Linked DNA regions of Saccharomyces cerevisiae S288C. The gene in region 2 interacts genetically with the main gene of each other region. Each region holds a gene or a part of one and is shown on either strand. Other genes may lie near its edges.

Evidence for each region.
Region 1: mutations in COG6 (region 2) and PSD1 together harm fitness more than expected from each alone (negative genetic interaction), as found in Saccharomyces cerevisiae (5 studies listed by BioGRID).
Region 3: mutations in COG6 (region 2) and VPS13 together harm fitness more than expected from each alone (negative genetic interaction), as found in Saccharomyces cerevisiae (5 studies listed by BioGRID).

What each region holds. Positions count from the first base shown.
Region 1 is NC_001146.8:315,669-319,445, reverse strand, and holds PSD1 (phosphatidylserine decarboxylase 1), read left to right. Parts: upstream 1-1,774; coding exon 1,775-3,277; downstream 3,278-3,777. Other genes in the region: SKO1 (Sko1p), read left to right, coding at 1-30; FMP41 (Fmp41p), read left to right, coding at 637-1,416; APC1 (anaphase promoting complex subunit 1), read right to left, coding at 3,564-3,777. UniProt on the Saccharomyces cerevisiae protein: Catalyzes the formation of phosphatidylethanolamine (PtdEtn) from phosphatidylserine (PtdSer). Plays a central role in phospholipid metabolism and in the interorganelle trafficking of phosphatidylserine.
Region 2 is NC_001146.8:548,577-553,864, forward strand, and holds COG6 (Golgi transport complex subunit COG6), read right to left. Parts: upstream 3,412-5,288; coding exon 892-3,411; downstream 1-891. Other genes in the region: BOP3 (Bop3p), read left to right, coding at 1-714; YNL040C-A (uncharacterized protein), read right to left, coding at 3,902-3,982; YNL040W (putative alanine--tRNA ligase), read left to right, coding at 4,804-5,288. UniProt on the Saccharomyces cerevisiae protein: Acts as a component of the peripheral membrane COG complex that is involved in intra-Golgi protein trafficking.
Region 3 is NC_001144.5:60,646-65,524, forward strand, and holds the start of VPS13 (membrane morphogenesis protein VPS13), read right to left. Parts: upstream 3,001-4,879; coding exon 1-3,000. Other genes in the region: UBI4 (ubiquitin), read right to left, coding at 3,417-4,562.

The sequences.
Region 1 (3,777 bases), 230 kb from region 2:
GTACTATCCACTCTACCTCACAATAATTGACGAGATAGCGACGGGGTTCTTAAATAGTCTTCTATCTGATGCTTTCGTACTCTTCAACCTGTCCGCTTTTCTCATTGCAAATATTCCACTATAAAGTTCCTTTTAAGAGGAAATCCCTTTTATTCTCCCGCTTTTTTCTGTATTTATGTAACTTCAAGATTTTTTTTTCTATATTTGATATAAACTTTAATAGGGTTCTTCTTTTCAGAAGTTTATCAATTGCTTAAGCCTCCTTTTGTTGATCAACAACAATAAAGGCTTTATTATCGTAAATTTTCCTACAGCATTTATTCTTCATAGAGCATACCGTTATAATTTCACCGTCTTTTCACTACGCTCATAAAGAGAGTACAGTTATACTGCTGCAACCCTAGCATGTATCAAGCTGTGCTGCTTATACCTATTTTGAAAGGGCCATTCCTTCTTTTGCCATTCCTTTTTCGTCTATTTTCCTAAATAGCTTCCTTAGCCTCACGTTTTTTTGTTCGCTTTCAAGAGATGGTCACCGTTCTCTAACTGATAAGGAAAAACGTTTCAGCCAGAACTTCCTATATAGAAATATTCTGAAAGCTATCGAGTAAAGACTCAGGAAATTGCCAAAACGTTATGAGCTACAATTATTTGAAGGCAGCTAGAAAAATTATATGCATTGGGCGTAATTACGCAGCGCATATCAAAGAGCTGAACAATTCAACTCCAAAACAACCGTTTTTTTTCCTAAAACCAACCTCGAGTATTGTGACACCATTGTCTTCATCATTGGTCAAGACCACTAGACCTGCAAACTCGACTTTCAATGGTTTAAATGAAGACGGAACTAACCCCGGGCCCATTTTTATCCCACGCGGTGTGAAGGTTCATCACGAAATTGAGTTGGCATTGATTGTGAGCAAACATTTGTCCAATGTCACTAAGATGAAACCCGAAGAAGTCTATGACTCTATTAGTGGTGTAGCTCTAGCATTGGATCTTACAGCAAGAAATGTCCAAGATGAAGCCAAAAAGAAGGGGCTACCTTGGACTATAAGCAAGGGTTTTGACACCTTCATGCCAATCTCTGCTATAGTCTCCCGCGAGAAGTTCTCATCCTACAAATCAAACTTACAGGATATTTTCAGAGTCAAGTGCTCTGTTAACGGACAGTTGAGACAAGATGGTGGTACTAACCTCATGTTGCACCCACTCCATAAAATACTGCAACACATATCTACCATGATATCTCTGGAACCGGGTGATATCATTTTGACTGGTACACCTGCAGGTGTAGGCGAGTTAAAGCCTGGTGACCGTGTTCACTGTGAGCTATTGCAGAATAATGACAATATTGTCGACATGAACTTCGAATGTGAAAATCGGCCGGGACCATATGAATTTAGAGAAACATAATGTCTGTCGCATTCACGCTTGTCGCAGATAACACGTTATGCGTTACTAATTTCCTACAAGCTTGGCACATATACGACCAATTGTGCTTCTGTATACGCTACGCTATGTAATCACATATCACATGCAGGGTAACCAGCACCTTTTTGGTGTTTTTTCAAATCTCGAGGTCAAGGGACATCTAAAGCAGGCACAAGCATGTGGAAAATTTGTTCTTCACCTATAATATAAAACAGCTTACTCACAAAAGAGACGCCTAGAGGTACGTAGCGCTTTAAGGACTCTTCAGCCAGTTGTTAGCAGATCGCTCAAATCCTTCTTGGTCGTTATTTTTTGAAGAAGAAGGAAAAGCAAAGCCAGCATGTCAATTATGCCAGTTAAGAACGCCTTGGCGCAAGGGAGGACGCTCCTCATGGGGAGGATGCCTGCTGTAAAGTTTTCTACAAGAATGCAATTAAGAAATAGAACTGCGGTGCTATGGAATAGAAAGTTTTCCACGCGTCTTTTCGTTCAGCAACGACGCAGTTCTGGAGAGATTGTGGATCGTGCCAAAGCTGCTGCCGCAAATAGCGGAAGAAAACAGGTCTCCATGAAATGGGTTGTTTTAACTAGTTTCACCATTGTTCTAGGAACCATTTTACTAGTGTCAAGGAATGATAGTACAGAGGAGGATGCTACAGAGGGCAAAAAAGGGAGAAGGACAAGAAAAATCAAAATATTTAACAATAATTGGCTCTTTTTCTGCTATTCTACTTTACCGCTGAATGCGATGTCTCGATTATGGGGCCAAGTAAATTCTCTTACGTTACCCATTTGGGTTAGACCATGGGGTTACAGGTTATATTCTTTCCTTTTTGGAGTTAACTTGGACGAGATGGAAGATCCTGATTTGACACATTATGCAAATTTATCCGAATTTTTCTATCGTAACATAAAACCAGGCACACGTCCAGTAGCACAAGGCGAAGACGTTATAGCTTCTCCAAGTGATGGAAAGATTTTACAAGTTGGTATAATCAACTCTGAAACTGGCGAAATCGAACAAGTCAAGGGAATGACATATTCCATCAAAGAATTCCTTGGCACTCACTCCCACCCCTTGATGTCTAAGAGTGCATCTAGTCTAGATTTGACTTCTGATGAGGAAAAGCATAGAGAATTCGCCAGGGTAAATAGAATACAATTAGCGGGTTCCGAAGACACTGAACAGCCTCTTCTTAACTTTAAAAACGAGGGCGATCAATCTGTTCGAGAGTTCAAACCAAGTGTGTCCAAAAATATACATCTTTTAAGTCAACTTTCTTTAAACTACTTCTCTAATGGGTTTTCGTGCTCTGAGCCTCATGATACGGAACTTTTCTTTGCCGTCATTTATTTGGCTCCCGGTGATTACCATCATTTCCACTCTCCAGTTGACTGGGTTTGTAAGGTTCGCCGCCATTTCCCAGGTGATTTATTCTCCGTGGCACCTTATTTCCAGCGTAACTTCCCTAATCTTTTCGTTCTAAATGAAAGAGTTGCTTTGTTGGGTAGTTGGAAGTACGGATTTTTTAGCATGACTCCTGTTGGTGCAACAAATGTTGGTTCAATCAAGTTGAATTTTGATCAAGAATTTGTGACAAATTCAAAGAGCGACAAACACTTGGAACCACATACCTGCTACCAGGCAGTATATGAGAATGCAAGTAAAATATTGGGAGGGATGCCTTTGGTTAAGGGTGAAGAAATGGGTGGCTTTGAATTGGGTAGCACTGTTGTACTTTGTTTTGAAGCTCCCACTGAATTTAAGTTCGATGTTAGGGTTGGTGATAAGGTTAAGATGGGACAGAAATTAGGCATAATTGGAAAGAATGATTTAAAATGAAAGCAATCATATGTAAAGTTAGCATTTATTTTGCTGTATATAGTATTATCTGCACACTTTGATTTAATTCTTCTTTTGGAGGTATGTAAAATTATACGCTGTACATTTTTCAGATTGGACTTGTTAGATGTAAACTTTAGATTAAAGATGTTCGTCTGAAGAATTTTAGCCATGTCATGTACCCCTTTCATAAACCAAGTTATACACAAAGATTACACCTTACCCCAGTTTTGGAACCTTTTAAAGCTAGTCTTAGATACCCAAATAAATATTCTTGAGTTTTGCATTATTCATCATGTGGTCCAAAGCTTTTGTACCACAATTCGAGTTGGCAATCCAAAATATCTCCACTGTTTTTATCTGAACACAGCAAACCTAAATTATAAGATTCTGAATCCGTTAATGCTGTATTATTTCCTGCACTCAAAAGAGTATCGAGTTCCACCATTGTCAAATCTTGAATACCCAAACTTTCAACCAGTTGCGAAGAGGTGGTATTT
Region 2 (5,288 bases):
TCATCCTCTACCGGCGGTATATCACACTCCACAGTTACAAATGTACAACGAAGAGCTAATTCTCCTGCAAGAATAGGTGCATCCGCAGTTGCTGCGTTGAATGACAATATTTCCATTAAGGAGGAAGATGTGGCTAGGCGAATTCCCTCTGGTACAAAATCTCAAGAATCGCCTTTAAACAAGAAGCCGACTTCTCTTCACAGCCGTAACTTGTCACTTCCAATAGGAAAGTTCACCAATCCTAATATTCCTTCTACAATGACATCCATACTAAGTTTCAATAGAGACCAACAGCAGCCGCTATCTCAACCACTGCCTCCTCCTCCACAACAGCAACAGGATCTCCACACGCACAATTTACATACTATACCAAGGAAACCTGGAATGGTTCAAAAAAAGCATAGGCGTGCAAGATCCACATCCTCCTTTGGAGTGATCGATTTAAGTATTATCGATGAAGCAAAAGAAAAACAAGTACAGAGATCACCATCCCCTATACATTCTAACGTGTCCGTAGCACTTACCTCACATGACAAACCAATTGAATCCAATATGAAGGAACAACCAAATATGCTGCAATCGGTTCGTGAAGGACGTCAAGTACACGATGACTTGGATGACAGAACATGCAGTGAAAGCAGTAGTAGAAACGAAAGCCCCGTAAGAACCATCACAAAGGATAATTCTGTAGGCAAGATTTTAAATAGTACTTGAGTGATCATTATTTTCTTTTTGATGTTCCCCCTACGTATGTATACACCCATATATTATATAGATACCCGCCGCATACCAACATAAAAAAGGTAACAAATATTTGAGATATAGAGCATCGCTACATTATGGGCAAGATGCGTCTTTGTGAGACGATTTTAAACAGAAGTTGTTCATCTCTCAGTGATCAATACCTATCAACATGTCAAATTCATCAGTGGAAAAATTTAAAATTTCGAATACCTGATCCTTCTTGTTCGGATACAAATGAATCAACAGTTTCCTGAAGATATTATAAAATAGCGACAACTTCTTGAAACATTCATCGCATATTTCATCAGCTATCATTGGTGACGTTAATTTAAATAGTAAATTACCTTGAACATCTGTTAACGCCTGAGGTAGATAATAGTTCAACTTATCATGCACATTTTTTCTGACCATGTCTAATTCCATCAATGAATTATCCCTCAGGGCTAAGTACATATCATAATCCAATTCATCCTTTACTGAGTCCACAGGAAAAATCATATTGACCAAATTGCTGTAAAGGTCTAAACCTGTATTCTCAAATAGGAATTTTATTTGTAAAGTTAGCATTTGCTTAGTATATTCCTTCAGTTTATCACAAACCCAGATGGTGATTTTCCGGCTGTCATCATCTTGTGCAAACAATCCCTCAAAAGGTTGAAGTCTAGATTTAATTAAATCGAAACAGTTTATCTCTATAGTTAGCAATGATGCCTTTTCTTTTTCATTTTTTTTCGCCAAAGGAAAAGATGTTTGCAATTGTTTTAACAGAACATCTTTTATTGGTTGTTCTACAATTGTTTGTAAATTCTTAGATGAGAGCAATTTATTATCTTCTGATTCCTCATCTTCGGCAGCATGTGTCTTTTCATAAATTTCAAATAACTCTACCAATTTATTCATATACTCTGATAGCCACTCTGGTGGCAGTAAATCATCTGAAGAATTTTTTGTTTCCGCCATGACTGTTTGCTTCATATAGTCTTCATAGTATCCAATAATTCTGTTTTTGGAAATGTCTTCCAACGACTTTAAATTGTTAATAATAGAACTATCGTCCTGAATTCCCTTTCTCTCGAACATAACTCTGTAAAGTTTCAGCAGCCTCACAATCTCGAAATTGATGATCGGATTTTCTTCAAACCTCACGATTTGCTCGATACGAATACGACACGAATTGGATAGCGACTGGATGATATCGTTCAGCAATTTGTTGTCGATGCCTTTCAAGAATGTCTTGTTTTGTTGAAGTATAGAAATTGGGGTATCTTTTAAGTCTTCATCCTGAAAGTCAAATAGTGACTTCACGAAATCAGCTTCATTTGCGATGATGGAATGAACGGACGCTAGTACGTCACCAATATACCTAATTGGATCGTGTGCCGATAATATGATGGGTTTAGAGGTAGTTGAATTCATATCGAATTGAGACAAAAACTCATCCAGAATACTCTTGGATCTCAGTGTGGTCACTCTTTTCAACAACTCATTAAATAATTCTAGATCACTTGACAGGAAGACCAGACTCTTCCGAAAAATGTTTAAGCTTTCTTGTTCAGTAGTACCATGGTCATTTAATAAATTTGAAGAGGATTCAAAACTATATAAAAAATCGATCAAATAATTGAAGATTTTTTTGTTTGTCTTTTCTAAAATTTCATTAACTCCCATTATCAAAGCATTTCCAGCATTCAAATTAGGAAGCGTCAGCAAGAAACTTGATTCATCTTTAATATTGATTACTTTCTTTACTACCTCGAAAAAGATGTTGTCTATAGTACCATTGGTGATTACATCGTCCTCTACCTGATTCAAAGTAAACCTATCCCTTATAGATAACAGTATTTTTTTTTTCAGCTTCAACTGCTCTGCCTTTAAACGGTATTGATCTATTTCCTGAAGTACCACGTTATTTGTTGGAACCTCATTTGTCTCATTACTTAGTAATTTTTCGCTCGTTCTTTGTATTTTTTCGACGGAAGAAGATAATCGTTTAATCCTTCTAATGATAGGTTTGAATTCCTCAAGTACCGTAATATGTTCCTTTAGCAGTTGAGATTCCAAATCAGTCCTCAATGCTCTTCTTGCCAAAGTACCTACATATTCAGGATTCATGAGCTTTTGTTCATCAAGGGACAATCTCTCTTTATTCTCTTCTAGAACCTTTAGGGATTTTCTTAGTTGGACTGTGGCCTGATAGTTAATCAATGTGTAATTGTTCAATATCTTGGATAGTTTATTCGAAAGAACCAAATTTGTGGTATTTTTGTTGGAACCACTTGACGGGGATACTAATTTTGATAAATCAAGGTTTTTTGGCTCGTAATTCGTGAAATTTTGAGATTCTTGCTGCGATAGTTTTTCATCCTGGGAATTTTGCCCTAATTGTTTGCTTGGATTTGAAAGCTGTATTTTATCAATGGAAGACATTGCGTAATGTGTCATTTTCTTATGTAGGTCTTTCGAACCAGCACCATCATTATCTACTGGCAAAGTTGCATTATTATTGGAATAACGTTGAAGGTCGGGCAACTTAAACTGTAGATCTAGTTTACCGGTGGGCTGTGACTGTGCATCTGAGGTTAAGTTTAGTCTTGGCTCAGGTTCTGGTAATTCTGGCGTGGCAGTATCCGCCATTGCGTAGGTCTGATAGTCTACAACGAAATCCATTGTGAGTAAACTTCACTGGGGATTTTGTTACGATAATGTACAATATACTTCAGATACTACAGCTTTCGGATGAATATTTACTAGAATGAATTACTACCTTAGATGTATATTTTGTATGAAAGCGTCATTACGCCAGTTGTATGTATTTTGTCGTCTGAGACGGCAGGTGATATATAAGTAAAATGGAAGTATAAACGAACAGAAAGCAATCATTAACAATTTACTTATAGATTTCGACTAACATACGCATCGGTAGGATTAGATACCAGTTTTTGAAATCCAATTTTTCCCTCGTATATGGAATGTGCTGAGAGTTTTCCTCAGGGATATGCGTATCAACAAAAGAGAGGTGGTAATACATGCAATCATATAGCGGTTTGTTTCTTTAATACTATATGTTGTCACTTATAATCCTGTTATATTATTGATCTTTAGGTTTCAGCTGATCCTTCTAATATCCCTCTATTGGTTTCGTAATTCGTGTTATCCTTTAAGAAGATCCTAGCGACATAATCATACTATCAACTGTTATGTTACCGTTTGGTGAACAGTTGGCTTTTTGCTCCGGCATTTTTGATTAAAAATAGGCTCTTGTTAAGCTACTGGAATTTTTCTATATTACCAGGCTACTCTTGATATGGCACCGGAATGTAATAGGAGTTACAAGACCATTTCAAGTTAAAGAAAAATTACTGGAAAAAGGGTAGTAACGTACGTGGACGAAATAAATAAGAAGGACGTAAATTTAATACAAATGCACAAGTAAAGTTATCGGCTCCTATTCTTCACTAATTCCATGCATATTAAGAACTGCTGGAATAAGAATTGACCGTTGCTTATTGACTAGTGGCCATGTTACTAGTATACCTATCACACACAATGTAAGAAAGTGACATAAGCCATGAGATACAATCTCAAATCTAGTAAAAGCCGAAATACAAGAACTGATGATGTAACAGAGTAATGCATAACAACGTGCAATGCAAAGGAAGAAATAATAGTGTTATTACGTAGGACATTGATTTCCTGTCATGACTATTATATCCTCAATGAGCGCATATAATGCATTCTGTATATTCAATAATACCACCTTATCAAATAACGAATACCATCGATTATCAGTAAATTCATGTATCACTCGCGTAAATTCTGAAATTCAGCCCACTAGGAAGACGTTTATATCAGTTTACTTTTGTACAAGTGACTTATTGCAAGCAATTTGTACGAAATATGCTTACACTTTTCATTAGTAAAAGAACCAACCACCCATCATTAACATCTTTTTATTTTTTATCCTTATCGTGTAAAAAAAACTTAAGAATAGACATCCTGGTGACGCATATCGACGAAAGCACACAACAGCGTCAAAAATTGATTAAAAGGTAAGTTATCATGCCCACACCTATGACGCCTGTCAAGGTCGGCGCTTTAGCCTGCCAGAGGAACTCATTTCTCTTCGATGGGTTCAAAACACTGGTTGTTTCTTGCGAACCAACGAAGAATAAAAAGGGAGAGATTGAAGGTTATGAGATTGAACTACAAGATACTATTCTGTTCCCCGAAGGTGGGGGCCAACCAAGTGATTCTGGTTTTTTGAAAATTGTTGAAGGGAATCGTAATTCGTCGAAAATTGAGAAGATATTAGTTTCACACGTTTCTCGTTTCGGTTTACATGCAAAGCATCATGTCAATGACTACATTGAGCCCGGAACAACAGTGGAAGTGGCCGTGGACGAGCAAAAGAGAATGGATTATATGCAACAACATACTGGTCAACACTTGTTAAGTGCCATTCTGGAACGCAACTACAAAGTAGACACTGTATCTTGGTCGATGGGTGGTATCATCACAAAGAAAAAACCTGTTCTAGAGCCTAG
Region 3 (4,879 bases), on a different chromosome or scaffold from region 2:
ATCGTTATGAGGCACAATTCTCTGCACTCTCTTGTATTTTAGCGTAAACAAATCTTTTTGAGATCTTGTCACTTTTTCAACGCCGGATGATATCAAGTTTTTGAATTCCTTGTTATCAGTCAGCTCGATGTAATCTTCAACATCTAATGAATGTACTCTTAGATCTAAATTCATTTCTTTGGCTCTCTTATCAAAATTGAAATTTAGCCTTTGACACAATATATCAACCAATTTTTCGCTGTTTCTGGAATCATTTTTGATACATTGAAAGAATGCTATTTTCGCCTGATCGATATCAAAATGGAGCTCTAAGAATTTCTGTTCAATTTGAAGCGGCTGCATATTTTCTAACGCTTTCAAAGTATTCTTCAACTGCAATTGAATTTGCTTCTTCATTTCTTTTTCGGAACCAGAAGAGTAATTAACGTAATCGCCGTTGTTTTCTTCATCATCAATCATAGAAGGTATAGAATTAGCAATCAAATTCATAATAGTCTTGTATTGAATGTCATTTATGGAAAGACTTAAGCGAGGCAAATGACCAAAAACTCTTATCGTGGGTAATTTATATGCTTTAGGAAGGATTGATAGATCTACAGTTAACTCTAATTTCATTTTATCCAAGATTCTAAAATCATTCGTGGAAGAGGCGGTATTGATCTTACCTATAGTAGACTGAATATCAGGACCAACAAATATCTGAGTATCCTGAGATAAAATTTGGAACCTATCAAACATTAACCTATTGATTTCGTTACCGTCAATCTTGTCATATTCTTCCGGCGATAACTCTTTTATTTCCTTTATCTTCTCCTTTGGCACTAAATCACTGAGTATAGACATATGACCGGCATCAATGATCGCACAAGGGGTATCCCAATCATGTGGGTCTAACGGTAATATGATTAATGGTGCTTGTAAATCTAAAGATACATTTACGGTCTTGTGGTCTTCCAACAAAGACTCAATACCCATTCTTGTTTGTGTTGTCCAACCTTCTACAGTTGCCTCGGCGGCGTTTACGATATTGCCGATTGTTTCCATGTGTTGGTTTGACGCCTTAAAAAACTTGTGGACCTCTGTAATGAAATGAACGTGGTAAAACACAGTCATTCCCAATAACTTAATGTTTAAGTTCGAATCTGCTAATCCATCTAGTGGATTCAATTCAAATGAAGCACGTAATAAAGGTTCATCCTCTTCTTCTTCCTCCCCGGTAGCGTGGTTGTCAATTGAAGATTGATCTTTAGATGAGTTTCTGACACTAATGATATGTTTATATAACGCGTTGGGTGAGCCATCTTCGAGACTGAATTTGTTCAATTGGAAACTCGATAAAAATGAATCAGGTCTTTGAGCAAAATCAACTTTACAATTTTCAAAAATTATGGAACCCAAATTTAGATTTTGCTTCTTCTTTCGTATAGTGAATGAACCCTTTTTTAACAAACTCGTTACACGAAGTTCAACCCTTTCTCTAGGAACTTGCAGTACAGGACCTTTATCTTCATTCTCGTCAAATTCAATAGCATCATAAAGCTCCTGACGCTGTTCTTCAGTCATTATTAAATCTTCGTCTACTTCTTCTGTAGGTTTACCGTTCCACCAAGAAGAGAGCCAGCTTCCATTATTTTTAGTTGCGGACTTGTTGGAAGTTTGTGGTTCAATATTTGAGCTAGCTGTTGGTGTGGGTGAGTCTTCCGTCATGCCCAACTTATATTGCGCGTACTGTCTCTTAGCGACAGATCTGAAGAGAATAATTTCATCATACGTTAAATCTTTATGCAATTCAGATAATTGAGCCTCCTGAATGGGGTCACGTAGCGGAGCTTCTAAATTTTTTAACTTTAACTTTTCAACCCATAATTTTGTGTACAACCTCCGTTGTTCACATTTCTCCTTCATGCTTTCCCAAGTCCACATTTTGTTTTTTTCATGAATTTCATTAATAACACAAGCAGCAATGTATTTAAACCATTCTGTCGGGTTTTCACTAACTGCGAAGGATGGTCTTGCTTTCTTAAACTTTTTGGTAATTTGTCTTAACTGTATACTGGAGAGGACATGCAAGATATCATTATATTCTGTATCATCTAATTCTAAACCAAATTCATCATAAAACATTTGCAAGTCAATGTGAGGTTGTTCCTCCGTGGAACCCAGCTTGTTGATACTAAGCTTCCCTAGCCCGCTAACCGGTTTCAAAATGTATTGATGCTTGGGGGCAGTGGAATTTTTCGATGCAATCATATCTTTGAAACCCCTTACAAAATTTTCCAGGCTTCTATCTTGATCATCATCAGAAATCAAGGGCGGAGAGTCTGTATTCCAATACAAACAGAGTGAATTTAAAGTCAATAGTTTATGCGTGATATTCTGTGTAATATCAATGAAACTTGGAGCCCAGTTGGAATCTGTAGATACAGCTGATAGCTCGTTCAAAGTTAATCCAACGGAAGATGGGCCTGTAGTGAAGATTCCGTCCATGTCCTCGTACCTTAAATGGATATTTTTTATGGTAACTTGTAAATTGTCTATGATCTTTGTAGTCAAAGACTGCATAAACCCGGCGTTATTTTTTTCTGAAGAAGAAGAAGAGGTTTTGTTCTCTGATTGGGTACTCAGTATGCGAGCCTGATTTGTCAGTTCCCATTCACTTACCTTCCTCATCTTCAACCGAAAAGCTCTCTTTATCATCTCCTCATCATTTTCGTGATCTTCTGAACGTGGTGAGCATAATAAATAACAGTCCTCGATAATGATTTTCACGGGCTTATTCTTTAAACTTGACCATGGGACCGTTAAGACCAAATCACCCAGTATCCCTGATTTCACATCTATGGGTAAATTTAATGAGTCCAAACAGTCTTTTCTTAGTTTTAAGTTTTTTAACTTCACATCACCACTCCATATGCCGACATTTAATTGATTAGGGTCGAAATTTTCCACATATGAGCCTAGCAATCGGTTTAGCAAATTAGCAGCTAAAGACTCTAACATTTAACTGTTCTTAATTTTCCTTTTTTCTGCCTTTTCCCTTTTGGTAGTCACAATATTCTATCCGTATCAAATTAAATAGAGTTAAAAGGTTGACTCAATTGGTCGGCTTATGTGCGTTTACTGGAGATTGAAACATGATAGGACACTATAAAGGTGGTTTATATTCCCTAATAAAAATCCCTTTCTATCAAAATAGCTAATGGTATTACCCGGCTTCGCGAAAATAGTGAACGTCATAGTATAAGACGATTCAAAAATCCAAGCTCTTGAAAACCAACATGAATAAAGACAATAACACAGTTGAACAATTTATTTAGTGTTCTATGGAGTATTTATCAAAAAAAAAAAAAAACCAAAAAGAAAAAAGGAGAGTAAACATATATATATTGACATAATGAAAATATTGCGAGGACTGATCAGTTACCACCCCTCAACCTCAAGACAAGGTGAAGAGTGGACTCCTTTTGAATATTGTAGTCCGACAGCGTTCTACCATCTTCTAGTTGCTTACCGGCAAAAATCAATCTTTGCTGGTCTGGAGGAATACCTTCCTTGTCTTGAATTTTCGACTTAACGTTGTCAATAGTGTCAGAAGATTCAACCTCTAGGGTTATAGTCTTACCTGTCAGTGTCTTGACAAAAATTTGCATACCACCTCTCAGTCTCAACACCAAGTGAAGAGTAGATTCCTTTTGGATGTTGTAGTCAGACAAGGTTCTACCATCTTCTAGTTGCTTACCAGCAAAAATCAATCTCTGTTGATCCGGAGGGATACCTTCTTTATCTTGAATTTTACTTTTGACGTTGTCAATAGTGTCGGAAGATTCAACCTCTAGGGTTATAGTCTTCCCTGTTAGAGTTTTGACGAAAATTTGCATACCACCTCTCAATCTCAACACCAAATGCAACGTAGACTCTTTCTGAATGTTATAATCAGACAGCGTTCTACCGTCTTCCAGTTGCTTACCAGCAAAAATCAATCTTTGTTGATCTGGAGGAATACCTTCCTTGTCTTGAATTTTCGACTTAACGTTGTCGATAGTGTCAGAAGATTCAACCTCTAGGGTTATAGTCTTACCTGTCAGTGTCTTGACAAAAATTTGCATACCACCTCTCAGTCTCAACACCAAGTGAAGAGTAGATTCCTTTTGGATGTTGTAGTCAGACAAGGTTCTACCATCTTCTAGCTGCTTACCGGCAAAGATCAACCTCTGTTGATCCGGAGGGATACCTTCCTTGTCCTGGATTTTCGACTTAACGTTATCGATCGTGTCGGAGGATTCAACCTCTAAAGTGATGGTTTTACCGGTCAAAGTCTTAACAAAGATCTGCATACCACCTCTTAGCCTTAGCACAAGATGTAAGGTGGACTCCTTCTGAATGTTGTAATCAGACAGCGTTCTACCGTCTTCTAGCTGCTTACCGGCAAAGATCAATCTTTGTTGATCTGGAGGGATACCTTCCTTGTCTTGAATTTTCGACTTAACGTTGTCGATGGTATCGGAAGATTCAACTTCCAATGTTATGGTTTTACCGGTCAAAGTCTTGACGAAAATCTGCATAATCTATTAGTTAAAGTAAAGTGGGAGGGAGAGTTCGAGAGTTCTTGTCGTATTGTAGTAGATAGAAGATATACTTATCCTTATCCGTACAGTTCTTGCTCTTTCTGAAGTAGCACTTTCGGAAGAAGAAAGATAAGCAGGCGAATTCAAAGGTGGCAAAACCCGGAGCCTCTCTATATATACCCCCAAAAGGAGGAACCGCCCTCAAATGACACTGAATTCTAAAAACAACTGATAAGTGGCATCGCCCCTGAAAAAAGAAACGAAGTGGGGTAACCACCGTGTGTGGCCGGATGTACGGCTGTGTGATGCTCCAC